7 linked regions of the Mus musculus genome follow. The protein of the gene in region 1 binds, or shares a complex with, the protein of each later gene. Links are inferred from orthologs where the notes say so. Each region holds a gene or a part of one and is shown on either strand. Other genes may lie near its edges. The genes, in order: Med16, Med24, Med31, Med12, Med18, Med1 and Med7.

What was found.
Region 2: the proteins of Med16 (region 1) and Med24 are in contact, whole or in part, in a cryo-EM structure (PDB 7EMF), measured with the Homo sapiens proteins. The link is inferred for Mus musculus from reciprocal best matches to the Homo sapiens genes MED16 and MED24. Residues at the interface, in NP_005472.2 of Homo sapiens: His29, Cys30, Pro31, Ser32, Arg52, Asp54, Asp55, Gln56, Glu82, Asp102, Val126, Glu127, Gly128, Asp129, Pro130, Val184, Ser185, Leu187, Thr203, Glu204, Ser205, Cys207, Arg208, Leu209, Arg210, Gly211, Arg212, Asp232, Gly233, Ser234; in NP_055630.2 of Homo sapiens: Ile539, Leu540, Asn541, His544, Pro545, Glu593, Arg629, Met630, Leu631, Gly632, Leu633, Asp634, Glu635, Asp676, Gln679, Gln680, Thr681, Ala682, Pro702, Pro703, Lys704, Arg705, Pro706, Ile707, Lys708, Glu709, His737, Met738, Gly739, Gly740.
Region 3: Med16 (region 1) and Med31 share a complex: the UniProt entries of both Homo sapiens proteins name them as parts of the mediator complex. The link is inferred for Mus musculus from reciprocal best matches to the Homo sapiens genes MED16 and MED31.
Region 4: Med16 (region 1) and Med12 share a complex: the UniProt entries of both Homo sapiens proteins name them as parts of the mediator complex. The link is inferred for Mus musculus from reciprocal best matches to the Homo sapiens genes MED16 and MED12.
Region 5: Med16 (region 1) and Med18 share a complex: the UniProt entries of both Homo sapiens proteins name them as parts of the mediator complex. The link is inferred for Mus musculus from reciprocal best matches to the Homo sapiens genes MED16 and MED18.
Region 6: Med16 (region 1) and Med1 share a complex: the UniProt entries of both Homo sapiens proteins name them as parts of the mediator complex. The link is inferred for Mus musculus from reciprocal best matches to the Homo sapiens genes MED16 and MED1.
Region 7: Med16 (region 1) and Med7 share a complex: the UniProt entries of both Homo sapiens proteins name them as parts of the mediator complex. The link is inferred for Mus musculus from reciprocal best matches to the Homo sapiens genes MED16 and MED7.

What each region holds. Positions count from the first base shown.
Region 1 is NC_000076.6:79,898,939-79,902,438, reverse strand, and holds part of Med16 (mediator of RNA polymerase II transcription subunit 16), read left to right. Parts: coding exon 1-16; intron 17-2,186; coding exon 2,187-2,342; intron 2,343-3,029; coding exon 3,030-3,238; intron 3,239-3,335; coding exon 3,336-3,500. UniProt on the Homo sapiens protein: Component of the Mediator complex, a coactivator involved in the regulated transcription of nearly all RNA polymerase II-dependent genes.
Region 2 is NC_000077.6:98,726,620-98,730,791, reverse strand, and holds the start of Med24 (mediator of RNA polymerase II transcription subunit 24), read left to right. Parts: upstream 1-1,372; 5' UTR 1,373-1,420; exon of another isoform or gene 1,421-1,488; intron 1,489-1,804; 5' UTR 1,805-1,877; coding exon 1,878-2,007; intron 2,008-2,094; coding exon 2,095-2,177; intron 2,178-3,775; exon of another isoform or gene 3,776-4,172. UniProt on the Homo sapiens protein: Component of the Mediator complex, a coactivator involved in the regulated transcription of nearly all RNA polymerase II-dependent genes.
Region 3 is NC_000077.6:72,212,531-72,216,830, reverse strand, and holds the start of Med31 (mediator of RNA polymerase II transcription subunit 31), read left to right. Parts: upstream 1-1,500; 5' UTR 1,501-1,842; coding exon 1,843-1,870; intron 1,871-2,615; coding exon 2,616-2,693; intron 2,694-2,957; coding exon 2,958-3,054; intron 3,055-4,300. Other genes in the region: 4930563E22Rik (uncharacterized protein C17orf100 homolog), read right to left, coding at 1,111-1,500. UniProt on the Homo sapiens protein: Component of the Mediator complex, a coactivator involved in the regulated transcription of nearly all RNA polymerase II-dependent genes.
Region 4 is NC_000086.7:101,272,674-101,276,890, reverse strand, and holds the start of Med12 (mediator of RNA polymerase II transcription subunit 12), read right to left. Parts: upstream 2,801-4,217; 5' UTR 2,631-2,800; coding exon 2,532-2,630; intron 1,996-2,531; coding exon 1,891-1,995; intron 1,720-1,890; coding exon 1,528-1,719; intron 1,400-1,527; coding exon 1,240-1,399; intron 792-1,239; coding exon 610-791; intron 450-609; coding exon 339-449; intron 227-338; coding exon 1-226. UniProt on the Homo sapiens protein: Component of the Mediator complex, a coactivator involved in the regulated transcription of nearly all RNA polymerase II-dependent genes.
Region 5 is NC_000070.6:132,461,122-132,465,113, reverse strand, and holds the start of Med18 (mediator of RNA polymerase II transcription subunit 18), read left to right. Parts: upstream 1-1,192; 5' UTR 1,193-1,340; intron 1,341-2,105; 5' UTR 2,106-2,176; coding exon 2,177-2,249; intron 2,250-3,992. UniProt on the Homo sapiens protein: Component of the Mediator complex, a coactivator involved in the regulated transcription of nearly all RNA polymerase II-dependent genes.
Region 6 is NC_000077.6:98,190,494-98,194,480, forward strand, and holds the start of Med1 (mediator of RNA polymerase II transcription subunit 1), read right to left. Parts: upstream 2,801-3,987; 5' UTR 2,591-2,800; coding exon 2,566-2,590; intron 2,414-2,565; exon of another isoform or gene 2,314-2,413; intron 1-2,313. UniProt on the Homo sapiens protein: Component of the Mediator complex, a coactivator involved in the regulated transcription of nearly all RNA polymerase II-dependent genes.
Region 7 is NC_000077.6:46,435,801-46,439,760, forward strand, and holds the start of Med7 (mediator of RNA polymerase II transcription subunit 7), read left to right. Parts: upstream 1-1,160; 5' UTR 1,161-1,391; exon of another isoform or gene 1,392-1,512; intron 1,513-3,960. UniProt on the Homo sapiens protein: Component of the Mediator complex, a coactivator involved in the regulated transcription of nearly all RNA polymerase II-dependent genes.

The sequences.
Region 1 (3,500 bases):
CAGATCTCGCCTGTGGGTGAGTAGTTTAGGCTTTCCTCCTCCTCCGTGGTGGCTGCTAGGCTTTTCGGTTTCAGACAGGGTCTCATTCTGTGTCCCTGGCTGGCCTTGAATGCATGGAACTCCACCTGCCTCTGGTGAGAATTCTGGAATTTTGGGTTCTTTAAAACAACAACAATAGCTGGGCAGTGGTGGCGCACACCTTTAATCCCAACACTTGGGAGGCAGAGGCAGGCAAATTTCTGAGTTCAAGGCCAGCCTGGTCTACAGAGTGAGTTCCAGGACAGCCAGGGCTACACAGAGAAACCCTGTCTCGAAACACCCCCAAAACAACAACAACAAAAACAAAACACAGAAATATTATGTTTTCATTTTAGCCTCAGATATGGGGTGCAGGGCTGCTTCGGACTGTCCACAGCAGCTGACTGTGATTTGCCTCCTGCTCTAGCAGGAGCATGGTCTTGCCCGCCTCAGATAGTTTCAGAGATTGTGTGACATTTGGAATTTTGGGAACTTTTCAGAGGGTACATACAGGATGGGGCTCTGAGAGGTGGGGTTGGTTGTGGTTTGTTAGAAGTTGTGCTCAAAGAAGAAACAAAACAGCAAAGAAATTAGATTCAAGGATCTCTCTCCCCACTGTCCTTCCTTCTCTCCTATCTCATGATGGGAAAAGAAGATCCCACAAAGCAGCAAAGGGCGGCTACATGCCTCTGGTGTGGCCGTTAATTTTCTCAGATTGATCTCATTGTCCCTCACAGTCCTGGGAGGCTTGGCTGCTTGTCTAGAGTCGGGTGCTAAGGCTCCAGAGCTCTGGTGAGGACAGCCTGGGACACCCACACTCGCACACAGGATGTAGAAACGCCCTGTGCAGGGGCCAGCAACCAAGGACTGAGCTATGAAAGGGTGCCCACAACTAAGGAAGGCATTTTACTTTAAAAGCCATGGAATCATCTAGAAATCCCAGTCAGAGAGGAGGCTGGAGTTGAGCATCTTTACCAAGGCCACCCAGCATACCTCTCCACAGCACACTTGCTACAAATGTGGACTCCCCAGGGGATAGCTGCTGAGGCTGCCCCCAGTGCCCTTCCCCTACACACAAAAGGAAGTGAGGTTAGCTGTAGGGGGGCAAGTGGGAGGGCTGACCCTGTGGCTGTGCAGGTCACTAGAGGACCTAATTGTCTGCCTAATGAAGTTGTGTCAAGAGGCCTCTGCTGTAGTTGCAGTAAGCTGCCCTTTGTGGCCAGCAAGTAATTAAATGTGAATAGCATCCCTGCTGTGCTGTGTTTGCTGTGGATGGCTGTGAGTCACTGGTAATCTGGGCTCCTGGCGCTGGTGGGCAGCCCTTCCACACTTGCACCTGCGCCTCCCTCCCACAGATGCCCAGTAGGTGGTGCTTGGCAGCCTTGGATAGCAAGCTGAGATGTGGTGACCATGGTGACAGAAACTGGCTATGGTTAAGGCAGGGATGTGGCTGGTGCCCTGGGCACTCACTAGCTTCTGGCTGCCATTGGCCACTGACGTCTGGTGTTCCCTTCATTCGTTCATTCATTTGAATTTTGAAGTCTTAGACTCTAGTGCACCCTCTCTGGCATCAGACTCTGAACCATCCTCCTGCCTCTGCCTCTGATGAGCTGGGGTGACAGGCATGCACCTGCTTTCTGCATCCCTTGTGAGAGAGCAACCTCAGTGCAAGGAAGGCCTGACTGCTCCAAACACTCTAGCCTGTTTCCTCTTGAATTTCAGTTGCTGGGGCTCCCTGTGGGGTCAGAGTCGGTTTCAAGGATGGGAACTGACATAGATAACCCATGCAACCCAGAGAGCCTGGTGTGACAGGCACTGGCCCACATTACCCATCTCATTCCCTTCTGGGGATAGAGCCCAGGACCTCATTCATGCTGGGCAGGAAGGTAATAGTTCAAGGCTAGCCTGGGCTACATAGAGGGTCCAAGACCAGCATAAGGTCTCTGAGATCCTGTTTCAAATAGGGAGAGAAAAATGCCAGGCCCGGGTCCTGCCAGTTCCCGGTCTTCTTACATCCTCAGACCAAGTGGCTGTGGGAGGATGCGCGGCCGGCCACAGTCCTCTTCCTGAATCGGGGCAGGGGTAGCCCTGGTCCCTGAGGCAGAGCTCGTCTCTCTGTTACACCTTCCCACACCCCTCTCTTTCCCTGTCCCCAACTGTTTGTTCAGTTGGTGACAAACAGCCCATGATCCTCAAGTGGCGAATCCTGTCGGCCACCAATGACCTGGACCGTGTATCCGCGGTGGCACTGCCGAAACTGCCCATCTCACTCACCAACACTGACCTCAAGGTGGCCAGTGACACCCAGTTCTATCCAGGCCTTGGTAAGTTAGGCACAGGAGCAGCCAGCACAGCACCTGGACCTGTGGGGGGGGCGGGGGGGGGGATGGATTCTGAGTGTTAAGGGTTCCTGGTCTCATGTTGTGATAAAGGTCCAGAAAGCTGCTGAATAGCTGTGTTCCTTAATATGTAAAGAGCTGTGGCCAGTTGATAAAAAGCTACATTCCTTGATATGTAGAGTTGTAGCTGATTAGCAAGTTATATTCCTTAAGATGTACACAGCTTTAGCCAATTAATAGAATACCATGCTTCTTGATAATGTAAAGAGCTATGGCTAATTAACAGTGGTTTAGGAACATGGGGTGAGATCCTCTTGCTGAGACAAATACATAATCACTAAAGTATATTGTATGTATTGTATGGTATTGTATGGTATGGTATTGTATAATATATGGTCCTGGGTTCAGATCCCTCAAGTCTCTGCTTGTCAGTCAAGTGCCTTCTCCAGCCAGCTGCTCAGCTATGAGGTAGGGTTGCTTCTGTGTGCCTAGGTCCTTATTTTCCTGGCTCTCTCCGATATGATGGGGAGAATGGATTAAAGGTGGGGTTGGTGGTCAAGCCTGAGGAATATTCTGCGAGGGAACCCGGGGCTCTGTGGTTCTTGAGGTCACTAAGGGAGACAGGGAGGGTGGCCGCTGCCCACCCCATCCTGACCACGCCCTTACCCGCAGGCTTAGCGCTGGCCTTCCAGGATGGCAGCGTGCACATGGTGCACCGACTGTCCCTGCAGACCATGGCGGTGTTCTACAGCTCAGCCCCGCGCTCGCTGGATGAGCCGGCCCTAAAGCGCCCACGCACCACATGCCCTGCCGTACACTTTAAAGCCATGCAGCTGTCCTGGACTTCGCTGGCCCTCGTGGGCATCGATAACCATGGGAAGGTGAGCATGCGGGCGGGGAGGGGCGGTGGGGAGGAGGAAGGGAGTTGGAGGAGAGGAGGTGTGGGTGAGCAGTGCCCTCAGCATAGCCTCCCCGCAGCTCAGCATGCTGCGAATCTCTCCATCCCTGGGCCACCCACTGGAGCCCAAGCTGGCCCTGCAGCACCTGCTTTTCCTGCTGGAATACTGCATGGTGACCGGCTATGACTGGTGGGACATCCTGCTACACGTGCAGCCCGGCATGGTGCAGAGCCTGGTGGAGCGG
Region 2 (4,172 bases), on another chromosome or scaffold:
CCAGCTATACTCTCCCTGTTCATAGCGTGCTCCAGGTACCCAGGATCCTATTAGTCTCCTACATGTCTACAAGGCCAGTTTTAGAGCCCATGTGGACTGTTTTCTCAATATTTATCCTGATTCTCAGTCAAAAGGTAGCTCAGGGAGGGGGCTGTAGTTCAGTGTAGAGTGCTTTCATAGCTGTACAAAGAGGAATGTGGGACAGAAGAGGAATGGGTTGGGGAATATAGACAGAATTTGAAGAAACAGGCTGACCTATCTCCTTGGGATATGAGATTGGGAGCCAAGAAAAAGAGGGGTGATAAAGCTCTGCCTCCAAATGTGCAGAATGGTCTTAGCCACAATACCACATTTGATCCCGAGGCCTTCTTTTTTTTTTTTTTTTTTAGATTTATTTATTATTATATGTAAGGACACTGTAGCTGTCTTCAGACACTCCAGAAGAGGGAGTCAGATCTCATTACGGATGGTTGTGAGCCACCATGTGGTTGCTGGGATTTGAACTTCGGACCTTCGGAAGAGCAGTCGGGTGCTCTTACCCACTGAGCCATCTCACCAGCCCCCGAGGCCTTCTTAAACAGTTTTTGAGACACCCAATAATCTTAACCCATATTTCCTCTGTTTTGTTTGTTTGTTTGTTTTGTTTCTTTGTTTTTGTTTTTGTGTTTTGTGTTTTTTAGACAGAGTTTCTCTGTGTAGTCCTCCTGGCTGTCCTGGAACTCACTCTGTAGACCAGGCTTAAACTCAGAGACCCAGCTGCCTCTGCCTTCTGAGTGCTGGCACTAAGGGCGTGGTGCCATGCTCAGCTTCTGTTTTCTCCTTATTTCCTTTTGTATCCAAACAGTATTCAGGATCAGTGAATTCTGGGAGAATTGTCAGATTTGGGGTTAAAATGATGGTATGTGTGCTGCTACCCACACTTCAGTGTCTCTTTTGGAATAGAAATATGAAAATGAGAGCTCTAGTGCCTACAGGGGCTTTCGAGAACAAAGGCCAAAACCCAAATAGAAGCCAGGTTAGAAGCCAAAACAGAAGCCAGGCTAGAATTCACTGTTATGCCTCGTTTCTGGGAAATAGCCACAGTATCAGAATGATTGAAGGTAGGGATAGATGGCAACATCACTGGGAGACAGAGAGTTGGTTTCTCCATAGACCCTGAGACTCTGGGTACCAGCGTACCTCAGCTCTTCGGATTATCTCAGATAAAAACCACCAGAACCAATTAGATTAATCCTTCTGCCTGTTTGGCAGCTTAGACAAGTCTTAGACAAAGAACTACAATTCCCAGAAGGTATTGTGGCAGGACTCGCCTCTTGCTACGTTTCTATTGGTTGGTGTGTGTTGCCGCCGGCCAATGGTAAATGATTTCCTTAGTAGGTGTCAAGATGGCGCTGCCTACGATGTACAACCGGTTTGTATGGTAGGCTTAAATTTGGGGAGATGGTAGATGTAGGAAAAGAAGGAATTACAACTTCAGGGCCGAGGAAGGTAGAGGCAATGGGGAGAGGGTAGATCTGGGTTTGGGGTGGAAGTGGTGAGGAACGCAGCTAGAGCGAAGGGCATAATTAGACAACCGGAGCGGGCTTAACCCTTTCCTGCTCGCTTCAGGGCTTTGTTGACACTTTCTGTCCCAATTCGAGAAACGGTTGTTCAGAAACCGAGAAGGTGACAGAGCCGCTAACTTGACGCCTTCTACTCTGCCTAGTTTTTTTCCTCTCTGTTTATTTTTCTGTTTGTTTGTTTGTTTTGCTTAAACCTTCTCGAATTTCCGTTCTATTTATGTCTCCCTTGTTCTTTCCCTCAGAACTCCAGTTCTCATCTGGCTCCGTTTTTAAACTCCCACCTTGTCACTCATCTCGCCTCCTTGGAGTGACATCATGAAGGTGGTGAACCTGAAGCAGGCCATTTTGCAAGCCTGGAAAGAGCGATGGAGTGACTACCAATGGGCAATCAACATGAAAAAATTCTTCCCCAAAGGAGCCACCTGGGACATTCTCAACCTAGCAGGTCTCAAGTAAAATGGGCAAAGAAGGATGGGAGGGGTGTCCTCAGAAAAGCTGTAAACACTCAGCCTTACTTTAATTTTCCTTGCAGAAGCGCTCCTGGAGCAGGCTATGATTGGGCCTTCCCCCAATCCTCTGATCCTGTCGTACCTGAAGTACGCCATTAGTTCCCAGGTAAAGATTCCCGACTCTTGGCTTTTGGAGGTGAAACACCTGGAGAACTGACAGTTGTCCATTTAGGCTTAATTTATTGCAAAAATAACACTCCATTTGTTGTAATGAATGAATATTACATTTATTTACTCTCTCCATATACATTTACAAGTAAAACTTAAAAAAAAAACTACATGTACTTATGGGCGGGGAGGGCATGCACATCGCAGAATGCTTGTGGAGGTAAGATACTTTTGTAGCCAGGCGTGGTGGCACACGCCTTTAATCCCAGCACTGGGGAGGCAGGTGCAGGCGGATTTCTGAGTTCGAGGCCAACCTGGTCTACAACGTGAGTTCCAGGACAGCCAGGACTATACAGAGAAATCCTGTCTGGAAAAACCAAAAAAAAAACAAAAACGATACTTTTGTAGAGTTTGTAGAGTTCTTCCCACCTTTCTGGGGATTTGAACTCATATTAGCACGCCAAACACCTTCACCTGCTGAGCCTCTTTGCCAGATCCTTGTTTCTGTTTTTGAGACAGTGTTTTATGTAGCCCAGAATGGACTTGAATTCCTGATTTTTCTGCTACCGCCTCCCACAATTGATTTGGGGGTGGGTGGGTGTTGATAATCAAACCTAGGACCTGCAGATGCTAGGCAAGTGTTCTACCTTTGAGCTATTATAATCCCTCTCTGGGTGTTTGCAAATGTTAATGTTTGTCACACAATGGTAAGTCCTGGGGATTTGATCCCAGTACACAAGGGAAGTTGAAGGCAATGCAGACTATCGCTAATCGTTGAGCGATGGGGTTTATGGTATGATTAGGGCAGAGTATAGAAATGAAGAGAGGATATGGAAGTGATGCCTAGTCCTGCCTGAGCAATCACAGAAGGCTTTCTAAAGGAAGTGATGTTTAAACCAAGGTCTCTATGGTGAGTAGAAGTTAGCCACACAGATGAATGAGAATGAAGAGCAGAGAGAGGAAATTATAATTCTACACAGGCTGGGCTGGACAAATTATAAGTTATCCACTACTGAAAGTGAGGGCTGCAGATACAGTTCATTGGTAAAGTGTTTGCTTAGCAGGGACAAGGCCCTGGATTTGATCCCCGGCACCACAAAAAACCTGAAGGATATTTGGCATTGGTGCAACAGAGCTGAACACTACCCAGCACTTCTGTTTATTATATCACATATGTGATATCATAGGCATCGAGACAGAAATTTAAGGTACACTTACCCAGAGATAGGGATGGAGCTCTGTTAGTAGTGTGCTTGCCTAGCATGGACAAGGTACTGTTTTTGTTTGTTTGTTTGTTTGTTTGTTTGTTTATGATGTTGCAATGCTATAGAGAAACCCTGTCTCCAAGCTGTCTCTGTGTAGCTCTGGATGTCCTGAAACTCACTATGTAGATCAGGTTGGCCTCAAACTGACAGATCCATCTGCCTCTGCTTCTAAGAGCTGGGATTAAAGGTGTGCGCCACCACCCCTGGGTTTATTCTTTGTTACTCTACTAAACTGTAACAGGTAACATGAGCTGCATCACAGATGACTTTATGCTGTTACATTCAAATCCCTTGGTCTCTCTTGGGCTACTCCCCCCCCCCCCCACACACACACAGGGCAACTTTATTGAGTGGTAGCATGGTCACACCCAGCAAACGTGTTCGCTCTCATTCACTCTCTCTCTCTCACACACACAGACCTTGTCACAGTCCAGTTCTCAGCCACAGGGTGGGGAACCTCCTGGATTACTCGGCTCCAGAAGTAACAGGTGCCCGAGGGAGGCTCAGGGGGAGGAAGTGGGGAGGGGGTGCAGAGAGCAGGGGTGGGATGGGTTGGGAACACCCACCAGACAGCTACACGAAGAGTGAGATTCCCCGCCCTGGTGGCTTCAGCTTGGCTGCACCCCCTTCGAAGGAGCCTTCCAAGGTGTGGCTGAACATTCAGGGTTTGGGAAGGGCAGAGTCCCACTCCGTTTTAGTCCTCTCTGCAGGCTGGGGACTGGAGGGCA
Region 3 (4,300 bases), on another chromosome or scaffold:
TTCTTTTGATGATCTCAGAATAAAATTCAAGCTCTTTACTGTAATCCCAGAAGATTTCCAAGACTCTATATGAAGTGGCATCTTCCTCCTTTTTGTTTTCTTCCTTATACCACGCTCTCATATACTAACTGATCTTTCTCTTACATAAACATCTTTGATTTTTAAAAAAAATGTAGACTTTCCCTTCTGTCTAGAATGCACTTCCCTCTAGATCCTGATATGGCTCACTGTCCACTCACACAAATCTCGGACCAAATGTAATCAGCAAGGCTTTCCCTGACCATATTCTCTAAAGAGTTCCCTACTCTCTACCACAAGACAGACAGCCTTTCCTTCGCGGGAATACAACAGCATGTTGTCTTACTTTCCCCTTTGTTGCATGTCTCTTCATTAGAGGAAGATCCTAGTCTTTTCCACTGCTCTAGCTGCCATGCTCTAACTACTACCTAGCATGCAGTAATACTCAGTTACCATCCTGTCAATCTCACGCCTCAGGCCAAGTGTCATGGCTTCTTCTTTACTTTCCCTTCCAAGATTATTAATGGTTTTATTGATTGTTTATTAATTGTCCTGTTTTTTCCTATACCCCCTGATTTAATTTTTTAAGTGTGGGTGGAATACTATGTATGACAACATGAGAAAATGTATAATGAAATATAAGTATTAATAAAGGCCAATTAATAATGTATGAAAGATGATACCTTGCCCTGTAGGTTTCAAGCAGGTATATGATCAGGCCAGCGGTCAAGAATCATGACAAGTTTGGCCCCTCTTTGCAAATTTCAAGTCGTCAACACATCCTAGAGTGACCTAAGACTATAAAACTTACCTGGTGTAGAGACTCAAAGAATCTCATTGTCCATCAGCCAGGTTTATACTGCACTACCAGTCTGAAACCTTCTGTGCTGGCTTCAAGTTAATAGCACACTGGGGTCAACAACAGGATGGTCTAAGGTGCTGCAATGTCAATACATGTTAACAGCCCCCAGAAACCACAGCCTGTTTCTTACACTGATTTATGGGTTCTTTCCATGAAACCAAAGATGCTCGGTTCTCCTGGAAGATGGCTGGCTGGCAACTCTTCAGTCCTGGCTAAGGACCTTTGGCACTTCATCGAGCCATTCTGGCACTCTGCCTGGCTGGGCTCTCAACACGGTGCACAGTAGTCTCCACCCTCAGGGATGACGACGCCCTGACGTGGCGGGAGGACGTTTCCGTGCACTGCGAGGAGGTTTCCACGTGCTGGGAGGACACCTCAAGGAACTGAGGGAGTCGCTTCGTGGAGGGGGTGAGGGAGGGCCCCTCTCGGTGGCGCTGGGAGGTCTCCACCTGCCGGGAAGACGTTCGAACCTGCCGGGAGGACGTCTCCACGCGGTGGGATGACGTTTCCTCGCGGTGGGACGACGTCTCCACGCGGACAGTCGATGTCTCCTTGTGGCGGGTGCTTTCCACTCGCGGGGCGGAGGACTTGCTCCTAAGGGGCGAGGCCATCCTGCCCATACACCTTGGTCAGGTGGGACAAAGAGGCCCAAGGATCATGCTCTGCGTCACGTCACACAGGGAAAGGTGACGTCAGGGTGGTGTATTACGTCGGGGTAGGTAGCAGGACTCTGAGACCTAAAAAATGAGAAGTCCTCCGGCACGCCCCGCTCGATATCTGCGCGCGCAGCCGGCCGGGTCTGCACAGATAGGTGGGGCTAATTTTCCCATAAGTGAGGTTGTCCCCGCCCTCGTGTCCCACTCTGCCCCGCGACCGGAAGTAGGAGCCGTGGCTTCCGGATTCTCACCAATCGAAGTCGCGGTTCGGTCGGGGCTGGTGGTGTTCGCCTCACTCTGATTGTTATGGCCGCGGCCGTCGCTATGGAGACAGGTACGTTGTGACTTGCACCCCGAGTCTTCACCCCAAGGGAATGGTCCTACGCCCCGAAATTCCCTCCCTTTTCCCTTTTCCTGCGCTGTCTTTCGGGTTCAACTTGGCATCCTTAGAGTTGGGACCGGCGGAGGAGAAGGCTGTGCTGCTTCTCAGACTATGGTCTGTGAAAACATCTTTGCTCCTGGGTTGCTCAAACCCCTACTCCAACCCTGGCTCTTGGGGCCGTGCAGGGCCGTGGGAGAGGACTGAGACCTTCCACTGTCTGTGCTGAAGGTACTCCCAAGAACTTGCCCGAAATATCGATAACCTGTGTATTCTAATGCGGACACCGCCTTCTCTCCATTGTTTAATCACTTTGCATCATGCTTCGGTTTTGTGTAGCACATTGATTTTGCTTAACGTAATCACAGTTGATAGTTGTGGTTATAACAACTTAGGGAACCGCACAGCTATTACAGACTGTCCAGTGATCTCCGCTAACAAAGTGGCCTGCAGGTGGTAAATTCCCATTCAACTTATTTTTTCCTCAATTAACTTTAAAGGATTTCTTTACTATTTTTTGTTTTACTATTTTTGTTTTGGAAACAGGGCCTCATTACTTAGTGAATATATATATATATATATATATATATATATATATATACACACACACACACACACATATATACACACACGCATATACATATATCTTTAATTTCTAAGAAAGTCTCTTCTGCACTTTGATATTTGTCTTTTCTCCTAGATGATGCTGGAAATCGGCTTCGGTTTCAGTTGGAGTTGGAATTTGTGCAATGTTTAGCCAACCCAAACTACCTTAATTGTAAGTTAAGTACATCACTAACTTAAGCAACTAGCTCTTAATTTCTGAGAAGAGATGCAGTTTGTAATACTATTTATTACTTCGATGTGTTTGAATGGGATTTTATTTGTTCTGGTCTGTAAGTTAACTGGGCAAACAAAGGCTTGTGTTTTTAATTCCTTGTGTTCTGTTGGTAGGGATGTTAAGAGCTACTTTGTTTTAGAGATTACTAATCAGTAGTCCAGCGGTTGGTTGACATACGGATTGTTTCTTTGTGTCTTTCAGTTCTTGCCCAAAGAGGTTACTTCAAAGACAAAGCTTTTGTTAATTATCTTAAGTATTTGCTTTACTGGAAAGAACCAGAATATGCCAAATATCTAAAGTAAGTTTAATTTTTATAATCCTAAATCTGTGTATACTTTATCATAAATACAAAGTGCTGATACTGAGCAGTTTTCTCTGTGTGGGAATGGAAAATGATATTTTGAATCTTTCTGCTTTTAGTTAATGTAAGATACTGTCATCTGTAACTTAGATTATTTTAGGAATTGCATTTATTTCTGCTACCATTCTTACCTCACTCCCTTCAAACAGAACCAAACAACTGTCTTCATGGGAGCCAGCTTACTCTCTAAGTAATATAAGCCAGAACACACCACTTCTGTTCATGCAGGCTAGCTAAGATCCAGTCAACTGGTTTCAGACTATAGTTCTAATGTAATTTGGTGTCTAACCTTGTCACTTAGCACTGCCCTTGTCTTTCTGGATTTTTAATGCCTACCAAACTATAATCTAGGAAGGTAGGAAGTATTGTTTTCTGGGAGTTTTAGAGGTACTGCCCTTCTTTATAGTGAGTGTTCTTTGTTTCGAGCACTGTGCTAAATGTATTGTACACATTAACTCACTGTAAAAGAACAAACACGGACACTATCAAACTCAATAGCTTTGACTTAAAAAAAAAAAAAGAAGAAGAAGAAGCTGGCACACACCTTTAATCCCAACATTTGGGAGGCAGAGGTGGGCACATGAATTCAAGGCCAGCTTAGTCTACAGAGCTACTTCCAGGGCAGCAAGCTCTACACAGGTAAGCCCTGTCTAGATGTGCCTCTCAAAGGAGGAGACAACAGAAAAACCAGAAGTTTAGCCTGGCATCCCTTTAATCCCAGCTCTCAAGAAACAGAGTCAGGTAGATCTCTATGAGTTTGAGGCCAGCCTGGTTATGTAGCAAATTTCAGGCCAATCAGGTCCACACAGAGAGACTCTTTTTTGTTTTGTTTTGTTTTGTTTTGTTTTTCGAGACAGGGTTTCTCTGTGTAGCCCTGACTGTCCTGGAACTCACTTTGTAGACCAGGCTGGCCTTGAACTCAGAAATATGCTTACCTCTGCCTCCCAAGTGCTGGGACTAAAGGTGTGCGCCACCACTGCCCGGCAGAGACTCTAATTTTAAAAATGAGAGTAAAACATTTCAAAAATTTCTTTTTATCCTCGTTACCTTCCTGACTTGATTTGCTGCCTGTAGATTTGCTCTTCATGATGCAATTATAGATTCCTTTAGGAATCCAAATGATAGACTTGAAGTTATATTAGAAGATATAAAATGTTACATGCTAGCAAATTTTCAGACCGGA
Region 4 (4,217 bases), on another chromosome or scaffold:
GGGGACGATGCTGAGGGCACATAAGCAGGTCACTAAAGGGAGTCGAGGGTGTACTGCTAGTTGGGGGCTGAGGTGCTGGGGTAGTGGGCAGAGAACTTGTTGACTGAGCAGCTATGACATGAGATGAGTGGCTGCTCACACCATCCAGCTGGAGAGCCAATCTCCGGGTACAGAAGTAGGCAAGGCGGCGGGACAGATAGGCAGACTGAACAAACTCCCCTGAGTACTGTAAAGATATGACCAACAGAGCCCGCTAGGTTTCTCCAGAAGATACTGCTCTGATGTCTAATTCTTACTCAAATCCCTCTAAATAGTCCCTCCCTGGGCCTAGGTCTTACTCGCAGCAGTAGGGGAAGCAGCAATTTAAGCAATTCATCTTCTCCAGGGCGTATTTTCTCAAAACACTCAAGCACCCAAGTCAGGAACTCATGTCTGTCCAGCATTCCATCCTATGGATAGCAGGGAACTATTAGAGGTAAGGCAGATAAAGTAAATGGAAGAATGAAGAGAGCTATACCAGGGGCAAGGTAAAAGGCAAATTCCATTCTATTCCAACAGGACAGGATAAGGTGCAACTCAATGCCATGTACAACATGCCCTTGCTCCTACCTGAAACATGAACAAGGCGAGCTTCTCATTGTAATCCCACTGCCTGATGGCCATCTCTACATCATGGGGCAAAGGCCCTATAGTAGAACCACAGCCTCCACTTCCTGCAGGCCCTGGCCGATAGTACTCAGCCATCTTCTGTAGCTGCTCCCACAAGTACTTTGTGATGATTTGAGTCCATTCTAAAGAAAATACGGAAAGGGAACTATATGATACTATTCTTAAGCTTAGAATACTCTATCCCCTGCCTCCACCCACAATCACCAGAGTTCCAAGCTCTATTCATCCTCTTAGCCTGTAGACAAATGCCACCTCCTTAAAGCAATCATTACATCCACTGAAGTCTCAAAGAACCTTCTGTCTACTCTTTTGATGTTTACCACTTTCTATATTTAATTATGCTACATATGCCTTAGCATCTCCACTAAGATCTAAAGAGCAGAAATTATATGCTGGTCATCTTTACAGCCCAGTACCTGAACACAGCAGATACTCAAATTACTCCATGCTTACCAATTTCGTGCACATAAGATTCATGCAGAAGCAAGGAATAGACTAGGAAGATTTATTCTAAGGCTCCATCACTCCTTGAAGCCATCAGTGGTATACCAGGTGTACAGAGTTACTTACCAGTGAAGGGGTCAGCAGTATTTTTCTTCTTAACCTTAGTCTCAGACATTGCTGCATAGTAGGCACAAGTCATCTTAATGAGCCAGGCAGCCCGCATCACAGGCACCGTGTATTTGGCCAAATACCCAAATACTTCTTCCTTTTTACTGAAAATGGGGACCTGGATGGGCATCACAAACAGCAATGTCTCTAATTACTCCAGGGAGCTGACACCACATAGCTACATCTTAGAATATAGGTAGACACATTCCCCACCTTGACCTTAAGAACAGGAAAAGAGTACTTCACCTTTTTGGCTAGGTGTGTGAGTGGTTTGGTGCCAGCCAGGTCAGTGAACCAGGTGTTAATAGCACTCTGAGATCTTGCAGTCACCAGCCAGAAGTTGTCCTTCTGGTTCATTAGGGACTTCCTGCGACCAGTGTCAGAGAGAGTATTACACCTTAACTTCTCTGCGATGATGCTGCTGAAGTTGGAACTGATCTAAAGGGGGAAAAGTAGACCTCAGGGTAGGAAGACTGTGAAAATGCCAATGTGCTAGCACTGAGTTATAAACTCTGCCACCTAGGTTGTCCCTTTCAGTTTGCCCAACCCGGAGCTTTTGCTCCTCAGATTCTTCCAGCCTTTTCCTTCAGCCTGGCAGGGTTGTCTCACCTTGGCAGGATTGAAGTTGACGTTCTTGGCACTGCCATGTTCGTCCCCAGAGACAGCAGGCTGGTTATTGAAACCTTGTTTTACATTCAAAGCCGTCAGTTCATCCTGAGGCAGAAAAACAGCATTTTTAGCTCACCCTCATTCACCTTATAGAAGAGGTTGTAAGAGAGGGCAGAGGAAAAGGTAACAAGGGAGCCAGGGAGGAGGAGGAGGAGGAGGAGGAGGAGGATTCTGACTAGAAGAGGTTGTTATTTAAAGCCCAGCCCTTATGTTCATTTGGACCCCACCCTCACCCCCACAGTCAATGAGACTCCCACATCCCCCAGAGCGACCTCAACATCACTCTTCCCTTACCGGCACCTCACCAAGCTGGCCCTAACAACTTTCTGAGGTTTGTGTGTGAGCGCCCGAGTGAGTGTGGAGGGGGGCACCTCTGGCATGGCTCCTGAACCCACGAGCTCCTCAACCGGAACTGCTGGCAGACCCTACTCTCCAGCAGGGCACCAGTCCACTCTACTCTTCCCCCTGTTGGGACTTTTTCTCTCACCTAACCTCATCCCCCCTTGCCCTCAACTGTCAGTGTCTCTTCCCTCACGAAACACCTGCCCGGACCCCGCGGGAACCGGGAATTGTGAACGCACCTCCTTCTGTTTGGGATCTTGAGGGTACACATCGGGAGGCCCCAGCCGCAGCCGCTTCAGGGGTCGGTGTTCATAGCTCAAGATCCCGAAAGCCGCCATCTTGCCCAGCCCGTACCGCCTGAGGCGCCTGCAGGGCCAGGCGAGGTGGGGAGGGAAGGGGCGGAGGGCCGAGGACGGGAGGGAGCACGGGGACAGCGAGCCGGGCGGCGGTAGAGAGGACCGAGGCCGAGAGAAGGGGGGTGGCGGAGGCGGGGCACGTTAGAAACTCTCGATTACTGCCGGAAACTGCCGAGGGACGCTGGGTACCGTCGGACAATACTGACTGCAGAGTGGGTGGGGCCTCGCCGGCGCGGGGCGGAGCCCCACAGCCCGGGAGCTTTGGGCCCTAGGAGGGAAAGTCAATTTCACACACTAGAAATCCACCGGCGTGGCCGGGGCTGGAGGCGCAGACCTGGAATAGGGAAGGCAGCCGCGGCGCTGAGCTCTCTCGCTGGAACTGGCTTCCCGTGGCCTCGCTCAGTTCTTGGCCTAAAATAAGTGCTCGGGAATTTTTAGTTTAGTTAATAACTGCGTCTTTTACTGATCACTTCGTTTCTTGGTTCTCACATCTGGATAATGGGCATGCTAAACTTCCTTCAAAGGACAGTTGTAAAGATTAGAAACTACTATTGTTTTAAGAAAGCACCTCTGATCTGATACAAAAGATCCGGTCTAGCCAGGCGCAGGCCTTTAACCCCTGCAGAGGCAGAGACAGACGGATCTCTGTGAAGTGCTTGCCTTACACAAAAAGAAAGCAACTGTAAAACTGAAGTGCTTATAATCTCTCCAGGTGGTTACAGGCCCTCTGCACCACAACCCCCTAACCCTTTGTTGTTGTTGTTAACCCTTAACCTGGCGGTGCACACCTTTAGTCCCAGCAGAAGAAAGCAGATCTCTGTGAATTCAAGGCCAGCCTGGTTTACACAATGACTTCCAGAACAGCCAAGTCCATGTATGAACTGTGTAACCCTGTCTCAACAACAACAACAACAAAACCAAAGAAACAAACAAAAAGTAGCCAGATTGATGGCAAACACCTTTAGTCCTAGCAACTAGAGAGGCAGGAGCAGGAGTATCTGAGTTCAAGGCCAGCCTGGTCTACACACTGAGCTCCAGAACAGCCAGAATTACATAGCGCCCTTGTCTCAAAAGAAAAAAAACCACAGGGTTTGGGGATTTACCTCAATGGTAGAGCACTTGCCTAGCAAATACAAGACCCTGGGTACCCGTCCTCAGCTCTGGAAGGAAAAAAACAAACCAAAAAAAAAAAAAAATGCCAACGTGTCATCAGAGTCAGATGTGGTGGGGCAAGCAGGTCATCCAGAGCAACAGTGACTGACACATACCCTGTCTCAAAAAGAAATCCATTGACACTTACATTATGTGTGTCACACACCTGTAATTCCCACAGCTCGGGAGATTGGCAAAAGGATAACAAGTTACTTCCAGCCCAAATTACATAGACACACACACACACATACACACACCTCTTTTCTGAGACAAGGTCATCTCATCATGTAATCGCAGGTGGCCTAAAACTTTCCATATAGCCCACGCTGGCCTAGAACTCACAGAAAGCTCAGTGAGCCATCTGCCTCCTAAAGCTTCCAGGCCGGATCAAAAGGAAAAGGGAGGAGGAGCAGGAGG
Region 5 (3,992 bases), on another chromosome or scaffold:
CTATCTATCTATCTATCTATCTATCTATCTAATGTATATGTGTGCCTAGATATATGTGTACCATGTATGTCCTTTAGCATGGATGCCAGATGAGGGTGTCAGATCCCTTGGAACTAGAGTGGCAGGTGGTTGTGAGTCACATGATATGGGTGTTAGGGCTGAACCCAGGTCCTCTGAATAACAGCAAGTGCTCTAAACTGCTTAGCCATCTTCCCAGCCCCTAGTTATTTATTTATATTTTGTGTTATGAGTGTTTTTGCAAGTGTGTATGCATGTCTACCACACGGATGCAGTGACTGATGTAGTCAGACAAGGTAATAGAGCCCCTGGAAAGGAAATTATAAATGGTTGTTAGCCACTATGTGGGAGTTTGGGACCTCTGAGAGAGCAGCAGGGGCTATTAACTGCTCAGCCATCTCTCTAGCCCTTATTAATTAACTTATTTATTTATTTATTTATTTATTTATTTATTAAAAACCTCACAATATTGTTTAAGCGTTGAATGGCTCTGCTGGAGAGATCCTTACCACAGCTTCCCAAGGTTCTCAGATTTGAACTGTGCCTGGTCCCATGTATTTAAAGTTATGGTATGCACTGTAAATTGAACAAGTTTGCTGTTGTTTTGTATTAAACTTATGGCCTTGCACATGTCAGACAAGGCTCTAGCACTGAGCTGTTTCTCCAGACCCTTGAAAGCACACAAAATATTGTTCCTGCTGAGGTCTATATATAAATACACAACGCTGTGGTTAGCGTTTCCGATTTACAACATACCCCTTCCTTTTCTTTTTCTTTAATTTAATTTTTAACTTATTCATTTTACATCTCTTTCACTGCCAGCCCCGCCACCTCCGCCTCCCTTCTTTTTCAATGTGACTCTCCTTCCTCGCTCCCCCCAGTGGCTGAGTTCAAAATTTAAATATGGTATCCAATCGGCTTTATGAGATCTGATCAAAACATCCAGGTCGTCGAAGCTGAAAAAAAAAAAAAAAAAAAAAAAAACGTATCCTAGAGCTGTCCTATGACAGTCACCTTCCACGGTACCACTCTAGACTAGGACCCCAAAGCAACAGCAGCCCCGAACCTTGCGCGTGCGCTCTTGCACACCGGTGCCAGAAGGCGGGCGCGTTCCTTGCCCTCTCGGCACCCTTACTTTTCGGGGCGGTAGCGGAGAAGTTTCCTGTCCCTCAGCTTCCTACCGGAAGTGCTGAAGGGAGAGTTTGGCGGTTTCTCTGGCTCTGCGCTGGCGGCATTTGGGGGTGCGGATTGCGGGTGTGCACGCGTGGATTTAATTCCAGCTTTACAAGGATCTGTAGCGCGGACGGAGACGTGTTGCTAGTGTAAGTGCACACGTGTCCCGGCTGCCCGCGTGGGAGGACCGGGACAGTCACTCTAACTTCATATTTCCCGCCTGGCTCATTTGCAGAGGCGTTCTCATAAAGGCAGAACCAGTTCTAGTTACATCGCTCGTGTGCCCTGGGGCCTTTCCCTGAGTCTGCATGGCCTCCGCATAGAGTGAAGGGTGGACAAGGTCCTTAGGTCTCCCTCGGATCTTTTCTTTTGTTTTTTCTTTGAGACAGTCTCACTGTGATGCCCTAATTGGCCGGGATTTGCTATATAGACCAGTCTAGCCCGAAGCTGCAGCCGTCCTTCTAACTCTGTCCCCAAGTATTGAGATTACAGATGTTCCCCCCAACACAGCCGGTTTTTATTTCTTTATGTTTGGAAACGAGGCCTCTCAGTGTAGCCCAGTGTAGTTACCATTTTTGAATATGAATGTCGGTTTCTTTCGAGCCAGGTAGTGGGTGGGGGAGACGAGGGCTGTGGGGTTAAACACCCTTGGTCTTATTTTAAACGAGACAGTAGGTTTCGGAACAAGAGGTTACATAGCTGCCTCGAGATTACATAGAAAAACGTTTATAAGGTTCAGAACTTGATACTAGATGGCTATTCCGTATCTCCGGAGCTAGAACCCCTCTTATTCCCGAGTCACCCGTTCTTGGAACCGGCTGTATAAGCAGATGTGCAAAGTTAAGACTGAATGAGCTTTGGTTTCAAGGCCACTGCCGCAGCAAACAGGGTATGGACAAGTGTGACTTTTCCAGGTGGATCCTGTGCTTCTCCGGTTGGAAGATCTGTTTGCAGTTCTGTTGTCTTGAACCTAATTAGAGGCATCATGGAGGCGCCTCCAGTCACCATGATGCCCGTCACTGGGGGCACCATTAACATGATGGAGTACCTCCTGCAGGGTAAGTCAGCCAAGGAGCTTGTGTTACCAAGTTTTCAGTTTTTTCTGGCTAGAGCAAGTTGAGATGACTTATAGGCAACTGTAGGGTTCCTGTAACTGTGTTTAAAAGAGGGTGGGTGGGAAGATGGCTCAATGGCCAGAAACTCACTCTGTAGACCCTTCTGGCTGCAGGGGCCTGGGATTATAGATATTTACCACTATTGTCCTATTGTCTGTTCTCTCTCTCTCTCTCCCTCTCTCCCTCTCTCTCTCCCTCCCTCCCTTGCTCTTTCTTTCTTTCTTTCTTTCTTTCCTCTATTTTTGTTTGTCTCCGTATAGTTCTCGCTGTCTATAGACCAGGCTGGCCTCGAACTCAGAATTCAGAGGTCCATCTGCTCTGTCTCCCAAGTGCTTGGGATTAAAGGCACAAGCCACCACTGCATGACTTTCATTTTTTTTTTTTTTTCATCTTGAAAAATTAAAACTCAGGCCCGAGGAGAAGGCCCAGCCGTTAAAAGCACTGGCTGCTTCTTGGTTCAATTCCCAGCACCTACATGGCAGCTCACAACTGTGTGTAACTCCAGTTGCAGAGAATTTGATGCCCTAGTCTGGTCTCCATGGATTCAGGCATACAGGTAGTTCACAGATGAGCTTGCAGGCAAAACACTCCTTCTTACACATAAAATTTAAAAACAAAAAACAAGAACAAAACAAAACAAACCAAAAAAACCTCATACCGAGTCTCCCTCTCACCTCTCCACTGTGTTTCCTACCTTAGCTGCTTAGATGCCCCACATGAGTGAGGTCCCCAACTGGCTTATTTCTCCTAGCATTATATCCTTGATAAAGTCATGTCCTATGACAGAATTTATATTGTTTTTGTTGTTTGGAAGCAGTACTAAGGAGCCCAGGCTGATTAATTTTTTTCAAGTATGATTAAAATGATTCTTTTAGATTTTTAAATCTTATTTTATCTGTATGAGTGTCTTGCCTGCATGTGTGGGAGTCAGAGGTCAGACAAGTATGTCCAGTTCCCTGAAAAGGAGTCGTGGACGATTATGAGCCACCGTGTGGGTGCTGGTGGACACCGAACCCAGGTCCAGCACTCTTAGCTGCTGAGCCTCCTCTCAAACCCCCAGGCTGACCTCTAACTGGCTGGGTGTCCAGGAGCAGTGTTAACCTCTGATCTTCGGGCCTGAGCCTAACTGTGTGCATGCGCTGTGCATGCTGACTGGGCTGTGTCTGTTGTTGAGTTAGCATTGTTATTTCATAGTTCATTCATTTCGGTACGTGTCTTAGCTTTTTGTTGCTCCACGGCCTCCATTTTAAATGTGTATATGAGCACATCACAGTGCCCTCACCTCTCCTAGTACAGTTGGGCTGGGCATCTGGTCTCCTTCTCATTTTTGGTTACAAAGAAAACAGCTGATACAGGTCAGGGGACATGTGGTGGTTTTATCTTTATATTTATTTTTGGAGCTTCAGTTTTTTTAATTGTTTTTTTTTTTTTTTAAGATTTTTTTGTTTTGTTTTTGTTTTTGTTTTTCGGTTTTTCGAGACAGGGTTTCTCTGTGCAGTCCTGGCTGTCCTGAAACTCACTCTGTAAACCAGGCTGGCCTCTAACTCCAACTCGGAAATCCACCTGCCTCTGTCTCCCAAGTGCTGGGATTAAAGGCATGCACCACCCCTGCCCAGCTTTTTTTAAGATTTTAAAATACCATTTTTAGTTCTCTGTGCATGTGTTTCAGGGGATGGTACATGCATG
Region 6 (3,987 bases), on another chromosome or scaffold:
ACAATGCCCAATGCATCCTTTAAAGAGCACTAGCTGCTCTTTCAGAAGTTCTGGGTTCAAGTCCCAGCACCCACATGGCAGCTCACAGTCACATGCAACTCCAGTCCCAGGAGATCTGCTCTCCTCTTCTGGGTTCTAAGGACACCAGGCATGTACTTGGTACACAGAAATACAGGGAGATAAAACCACCATACACATGAAATACATATTCTTTATTTCAAAAAAAAATATGTTGGGTATGCATTTTTTTGGGTTTTTTTGGGGGAAGGGTTGCTGTTATTGTTTTGATTTTTTGACTCATGGATGTGTGGCATGTCTGTGCAGTGCTCATGGAGGCCAGAAGACACCGAGACTCCTGAAACTAAAGTTACAAATGCTTGTGAGTTGCTACGTGGACATGTGTTTCCTGGGAACCAAACCTGAACCTATGCCAAAAGCACAGGGCTCTTAAACCCTCAGCTCGATCTCCAGCCACCTCCCTGCTTTTTTTCTTCCATTTTGAGACAGTCTCTCACAGCCCAGCTGACCATGACCTTGAGGGCTGACAAGATGGCTACAAGAGTAGAGGCACCCGCAATGCCAAACATGAGAGTCTGGGTTCACGCCCCAGAGCCCACAGTGGATATGGTAGATGCCCTACCTCCTAGTAAAGAAATGTAAGTGGTGACCTCCTCATACTCCTACCTCTACCTATGAAGTGCTAGGATTATAAACATGGGTCACCTCCCAGGCTTGCCCAGACTATGCTCTAAGGCATCCTCTTGTCTCCTTTCATCAGCCTCCTATGGGTGTGTGCCGCTATGAGGTACGGCTGAGACAGAGCTTCCCTGGCTGTCTTGTCTCTTTGTAGGTCTGGCTGGCTTCAAACTCAGGGATCCACCTGCCTCTTTCTACTAAGTGCTAGGACTAAGGCAGGAACCATCACCAGTTGGCTCTTTGCGTGTTAGTTTTTAAGACAGGGTTTCTCACTGGACCCTTGGGCTCACAACACCTTGAAGGATATACTTGGAGCACAATTTAAGGAAGACGTTATTATAATTAGGGGTTTTAGGGCTGGAGAGATGGCTCAGAGGTTAAGAGCACTAACTGCTCTTCTGAAGGTCCTGAGTTCAATTCCCAGCAACCACATGGTGGCTCACAACCATCCATAATGAGATCTGACACCCTCTTCTGGAGTGTCTGAAGACAACTACAGTGTACTTACATATATAATAAATAAAATCTTTAAAAAAAAAATAATTAGGGGTTTTTTTTGTTTTGTTTTGTTTTGGTTTTTGGAGACAGGGTTTCTCTGCGTAGCCCTGGCTGTCCTGGAACTCACGCTGTAGACCAGGCTGGCCTCGAACTCAGAAACCGCCTGCCTCTGCCTCCCAGGTGCTGGGATTAAAGCTGTGGGCCACCACACCTGGCTCCCTTTTTCCTTTTCTTTTGGTGCTGGGAATTGAACCCATGGACAAGAAGACATTACTCTAACCACTGCTCTACATTCCCAGCCTCTAAATTATCTTTAAATTAACATACAAAGCAATGCATATCATTTTGGCATTCTTATACATATAGGCCATTATACTTGGTCCAAGTCCTCTCCCTCTGAGAGCCACACTGCCCCAACCTCCAAACAGCCAAACCTCTCACTTCATTTCATATTCCACTAACCTTTCTATCCTGCAGACCTCCTTTGTTCCCACATGGTCCCATGTTTTCACAACCAACACACACCAACACATACCTACGTCGAGATTCCTCATAAGAGAAAATGTGCTATTTATCTTAATATGGCTTATTTTGAGTATCGTCCACTTTGCTACAAATGTCGAGACTTCATTTTTGGATAAGCCAGTCCAGGTCGTGGGAGGGAGTATCTGAACCAAGAATCAAACTCTTAGCTGGCCGAGAGGTGTGTAAGCCCGCACTTGGGAGGCTGAGGCAGGGGGACCTTGTCTCAAGAAACAAAGAAGATTCTATCCCTTCCCTTTTCTTCCCTCAACTGGGAAACTGGTTTGGGGATTGTTCCTGCCAGTTTATAGTTCTGAACACCTCTCCCCCAAGCTTTAAAGCCACCGGTCGTGCACAACTGAAAGCAGTTCGTAAAGACACAGCACAGTATTTGAACACTATGACCTTCCAAGTAATAAACGGCCCGCTTTTACTATGATGAAGATCGAACCAAGCAAGTCACTCCGGCTAAAACACCCTCCATTACTTTGACATTACATTGTTCTAGTGTCATCTTCAGCGATCTCTCCTGGAACAAAGCATCAACAAGTTTCAGTTTCCCTCTCCTTGGGTCCCACCGGGCTAAGCTCAAAGTACCCTGAGGCTCAACTTCCTCGTCCCTCGTCCCGCAGAAAACCTTTCACGAGTGGAGGAGACGGGGGAGCAGCGCCCCGGAGGAGGCGCTCCAGCATCTGTAGGGCTCGGTCGGGATCTAAGATGCACATTCCACCAGGATCCGGTCCCACGCACGGTGGCCCTGGAGGGGCGTGGGTCCCCACCTCCTCTCTCGGATTGGCTCGCCGCAGCGGTGTACCGCCCCTCCTTCCCCGCCACCCCCCAGTCACTCACCCTCGGTTTCCCCCTGAGCCTTCATCCTGACAGCGGGGAGGTCTTGGGTCCGCCACGAGCCGGGGAGCCTTTCCCCGCCACTCAGAGGGGAACCAAGTTAGCCTGGGCTCCGGGGAAGCGGCGCACCAGCGGCCCCGACTCTTCCGGGGAAGGCTCAGTCTGAAGTCCCCGGCGGCAAGAAGAGAAGGGTGCTCGCGGCCGCCGCCATCTTCCCCAACGGAACTTCCCAAAGATCGCGAGATTAATCGTGTTCCTGTGAGACGGAGGAAGAAGGAACCGCACCAAAGTCTCGCGGAGGTTGGCTGATTTCGTCCTCCCCGCAGGATCTCTAGCAGGCCCGGCTCCGATTGGCTCAGAATTCACACCTTGGCGTCTAAGGGTGTGTGCCCAGAGTTGACATCTCTCTGAAAGTTTATGTTTGCATCCCGACAGTTACACAATTTGTAAATTAAAAGCGTTAGCTCTTCCGTCCCGCGGTGGTGGCGGCTCAAGCCTTTGATCCCAGCAGACAGGCGGAACTCTGAGTTCGAGGCCAGCCTGGTCTACAGTGTGAGTTCCAGGACAGCCATGGCTACACAGAGAAACCCTGTCTCAAACGAAACAAAATGTTTGCTCTTTGAGCACCTGGAAAAGTGGCACACTCCTATAATCCCAATGAGGAAGGGGATAGTGAAAACCGGTCCTTACAAAATAATCTCTACTGAAAGATTTCCAGTGAGTTTTAGTGTTTGGGTGTTTAGAGTTTGCCTGGTGGTGGCGCACACCTTTAATCCCAGCGCTCTGAAGGGAGAGGCAGGTAGATCTCTGAGTATGAGGGCAGCCTGGTCTACAAAGTTTCTGGACAGCCAAGGCTACAGAGAAACCTTGCCTGGACAAAAACAAAACAAAACAACAAAAAAGTAAGATTTGTAAGATGACAAGACTTGTAACTCACCAGCAACATACCTGATTAGCATGTCTGAAGTCCTGGGTTTAATTCCTAGAGAAAGTGGGAAGGTGAAATTTCCTGAAGAACCAGAAGCAGTTATGTTGTTTAAAAAAAAGAAAGAAGGGGCTGGAGAGATGGCTCAGTTAATTTAAGAGCACCGACTGCTCTTCAGGAGGTCCTGAGTTCAATTCCCAGCAACCACATGGTGGCTCACAACCATCTGTAATGAGATCTGACTCACTCTTCTGGAGTGTCTGAAGACAGGTACAGTATATATATATACACACACACACACACATACATATACACATATACACGCATACATACATATATATATAATAAATAAAAGAAAAAGAAAGGAACTAGGGAGGCAGAGGCAGGCAGATTTCTGAGTTGGAGGCCAGCCTGGTTTACAGAGTGAGTTCCAGGACAGCCAGGGCTACACAGAGAAACCCTGTCTCGAAAAACCAAAAAAAAAAAAAAAACCCAAAAAA
Region 7 (3,960 bases), on another chromosome or scaffold:
TCCAGCCTCTTAGACTGAGCAACTACAGGATTCTCAGCCTTTCAGGGCTGAGACAGCCATTGCTGGACTACTTGAACTGCATCTTGTAAGTCACTCGGATAAGTCATATATACATATATATCCATGTGCATACACACATTCATTCTATCAGTGTAATAACCCCTAGTACACTTTCAGTAAGATAATAAATCTGTGGGTATAGGAAAAAACGAAGAGCCCTTACCTTTTAGAGGTTCATACCAGACTAGAGACAAAATGATGGGGCTCATATAACTATGGAAGTTGGTAGTGAGTAGACTCTTCTTTTGTTTTTATGCCTGCAATGCTCCACATATTTAAAGGAAGAAACTGAGACATTCTTGTTTGTGAAGCAGAGCTGTTTATCTTACTTTTAGTTTGCAACACTGCATCTTACGACTCCCATATCATCTGTTAACAACTCTTCTCTCTCTCCTCCCTCCCCCTCCTCCTCTCCCTCAGGGAAAGGCCAAAATGGAAATATTTCTTGCTAGTCCTGATGGCTCATTTCTATACCTCTGGCTTTCCAGAGGCTGGGAAGAGACATCTGAAGCCAGCCTGGGCTACACAGTGAAATTACCCACTCCCTCCATTTTAAAAAATTATATTAAGTTTTTTTCACTTGTCAATTTGTGGAAGGATTGTTATAGACATCTTTGAATTCCTAAATGAAAATAAAAGTGAATGGAAGGGGGAAAATGAAGGTTTAGGATGTTATTCTTAATCATGTTCACAAATATCTCCATATATATGAATATATCATAGAGTACAATCTTGCTTTTAAAAAACATTTTTGATGATTACATTAGTATAATTTTTAAATATATTGCTTATCTGTATTTTCTGACTTTTACATAAGGCAAGTATTTAATTTTAAAAGTCTCGTATAAAAGTGGGGGCTGCAAGGAATGGAATTACTAGAGAGTACTTTCTTCTACTAACAAAAAGTACGAAGAAGTATTCTCCTGACCTGACCAAGAAACCAGACAGCGGATCTTTCCCGAGAGAAGCAGGAGATGCGAAAGTGCGCATGTGCAACATCTTTAGGGCGGGAGTAGGACCTGCTATAGGACAGCCTTGGTAGCCAATGAGAGGCCCGCGTCAGAGGCTTCTTCCTGAGAAGGCAACCGGAACTTGTGCTTCCGCTGCGCTGAGGAAAAGTCACTACCGGAAAAGCAAGAAAGAGCTGAGGTGAGCGGGCGGCGGCGGTTGGCGACCGCAGCCTAAGTCTGTCTCTCCGCCCCCGCGGTTGCGTCTCTCCCGGCGTGGAGCGCCGAAGTCCGGCGCGGGACAGCCTGGGACGCCCGGGCTAGCCTTCCTCCCGGTTCCTCCGCGAAGCCTCCCCGGGGCCTGAGGCAGGCGGCCGGCCGAAGGTACACCGAGTACCGCTCTCTCCGGACGACAAGCCAGACGGGAGGTTGGGAGGTCCGAGTTCTCGTCCCCACGCCACGGGCTTTTATAATGTCGTGGTCTTAGCCTGCCCTGTCGCCATTGGTAAAGTGACAGTAGCCGCCTGGGAGCGCGGGGGCTGGGGGAGGGGAGCGAGAGCCTGGGTCGGAGCCGGATTCATCCTGTACCAGACTTTCCGCGGGGACCCAGTCACGGGGACAAAGTGAGCCAAGTGTCTGAGCTTGCGGACCCCCCCCCTCCCAAAAAAAAAAGCACCCACGAGACACTGGATCTTGTTAGTGTTAGCGAGTCACGACCTCCAGCGGCTTTGAAAAGTTCAGTTTGAACCGGTAATGGGCGGTTTCTGTAAGGTGGCCCGCTCTAACGCGGGATGCCCAAGTTACGGGGGTTTGCACTTGCGCCCGAAAAAACTAATGCGGATTCCCGTTGTACAATTCACCCCCTTCTGCACGTTGGGAATTGGCTTCTTGTCTCTATAGTCAAATTGGGAGTAGTCGTACCGTCCTGATGATTGGAGTGAGGATGCGGATCTGTCACTTACTAAAAACCTTCGGGAAACTGCGGGTTTAGTGTGGGTGTGGCTAAGGGAAGCGCAGATCCCCAACTTCAAAAGCCTTCGGGGGATGAAATTTAGGCCAGGTGTTGACTTGAAGTGGCTACAAGTAGACTTTCGTGTTCTAGGTATATACACCCTGAATTAGCTCTAACAGTTAGACAATCTGAAGAATTTGGAGTTGCTTCCCTCAGATTTAAGGTATTGGCAGTGTACATCAGTGTGAGAAAGCACTCAAGAATCTTCTCATTGTATAATGTACTTAAATTGGAAAAAGCAAAGGTTATTTTGACCATATATGTTGGGATTTAGGTTTTAAATTTATGTAGAAAAGATGTAAAAATTGCTAATGTGTTAAGAAAACTGTACTATACTAACTCTACTATACTGTAAGATGTGGCTTCCTTCAGAAACCTTGGAAAATATTTGAAATATGAAATTTAACAACGGTGTTTTGTTATAGTTGTTTGTTTGTTTGTTTTTTTGAGACAGAATTTCTCTGCGTAGCCTTGGCTGTCCTGGAACTCACTCTGTAGACCAGGCTGGCCTCGAACTCAGAAATTCACCTGCCTCTGCCTCCCAAGTGCTGGGATTAAAGGCGTGCGCCACCACTGCCCAGCAACAATGGTGATTTTTGTCAAGATGTAAAGAGAGTTTTAAGTGTTTGGGTTTGGAGACCACTGTACAGTAAAAAGGAAAGTGAACGACATGAGATTAATAGATACCATATGTAGTTTGATTATGGGAAAGAATAATAAATAAGGCATATGACATTTGCATATAAATGTTCTTTTCCAGAGTAGGTTCCAACATATGCCTACCAAAAGGAGTCAGACATGAAAAAATAGTATATCATGTACCATATAAAAGCACCCTAAATACAGACCCTTTTTCCTTAGTTCTCAGAATATGTTTGTTCTTTGAGAATTTTATACACACACACACAAACACACATGTGTTTTGATCATACCCGCTTCCACACTCCTCTAATACCTCACAGACCACTACCATATCTTACTCCCACTTTTATATATTTTAAAAATATTTACTTAGTTTTTAAAGATGGATCTTTAGCACCGGCTGGCCCAGCCTCACTGTGTAGTCCAAACTGGCCTTGAACTTAGAGCTATCGAGCTTCTCAGTCACAGGGACTACAGCATGACCCATCATGACTACAGCGGGAACCATCATGCCCAGTTTAGGTCTTTTTAAAAAAATGTTTAAAAATAACAGTAAATAAAGTCCTCTGCCAAACCTGTGGTGGACTCTGCTGCTTGTTTTTCCACTTTGTATGCTTTACATTTGTCAGATTACCTAGAATATGTGAGTCCTTAGTGCTAGCATCCTTTTCTAAACAAGCAGAGCAGATCTTACTTCACCATCACGTGAAGTCTGGCAGGCAGCAAGAGTGCTCTTTAACAGGTGAGAAAGACTTGAAGAGATCAAAAAAATAGTAGGGTTTCTAAGTGATACTGTTTTGTGTTCTCAGAATTTCCTTCATAGACAAAGTTTGCATATCTCGACTTGGGTGTATAGTTAGAGATATTAGGGCAACAAGGCTCTCACTTCTGTTATCTTCACTGCAATAAACATAACAATTCAGCATTTTTAAGTCTGATTCAGTTAAACAAACTATCTGATAAAAACCTGCAGTCGTGGGTGAATACAGTTAAGAGTCAGGACACAGCAGGCCGTAGGACCAGAGCAGTATTGTGAAGAAGTCATGGTACCTGGGAGTCAGTGACTAAGTAGTTTAAACGGTGATTCTGCAGTAAAAATGACCTTGCCATTGTCCACTGTGAGTTACAGAACCTGTCTTTACACTTGAATGTTAGAATCATAATTGTGGTGCTATCACAAAGTAGACAAAGGGCAAACCTTTTGGAAGGCAGAGTCTTTGGTGTGCAACTTTCTGTACCTTCCTTGCTCTATCCCATTAGCCTAACAAGGAAGTTTTTTTGTTTTTTGTTCTCCCCCCC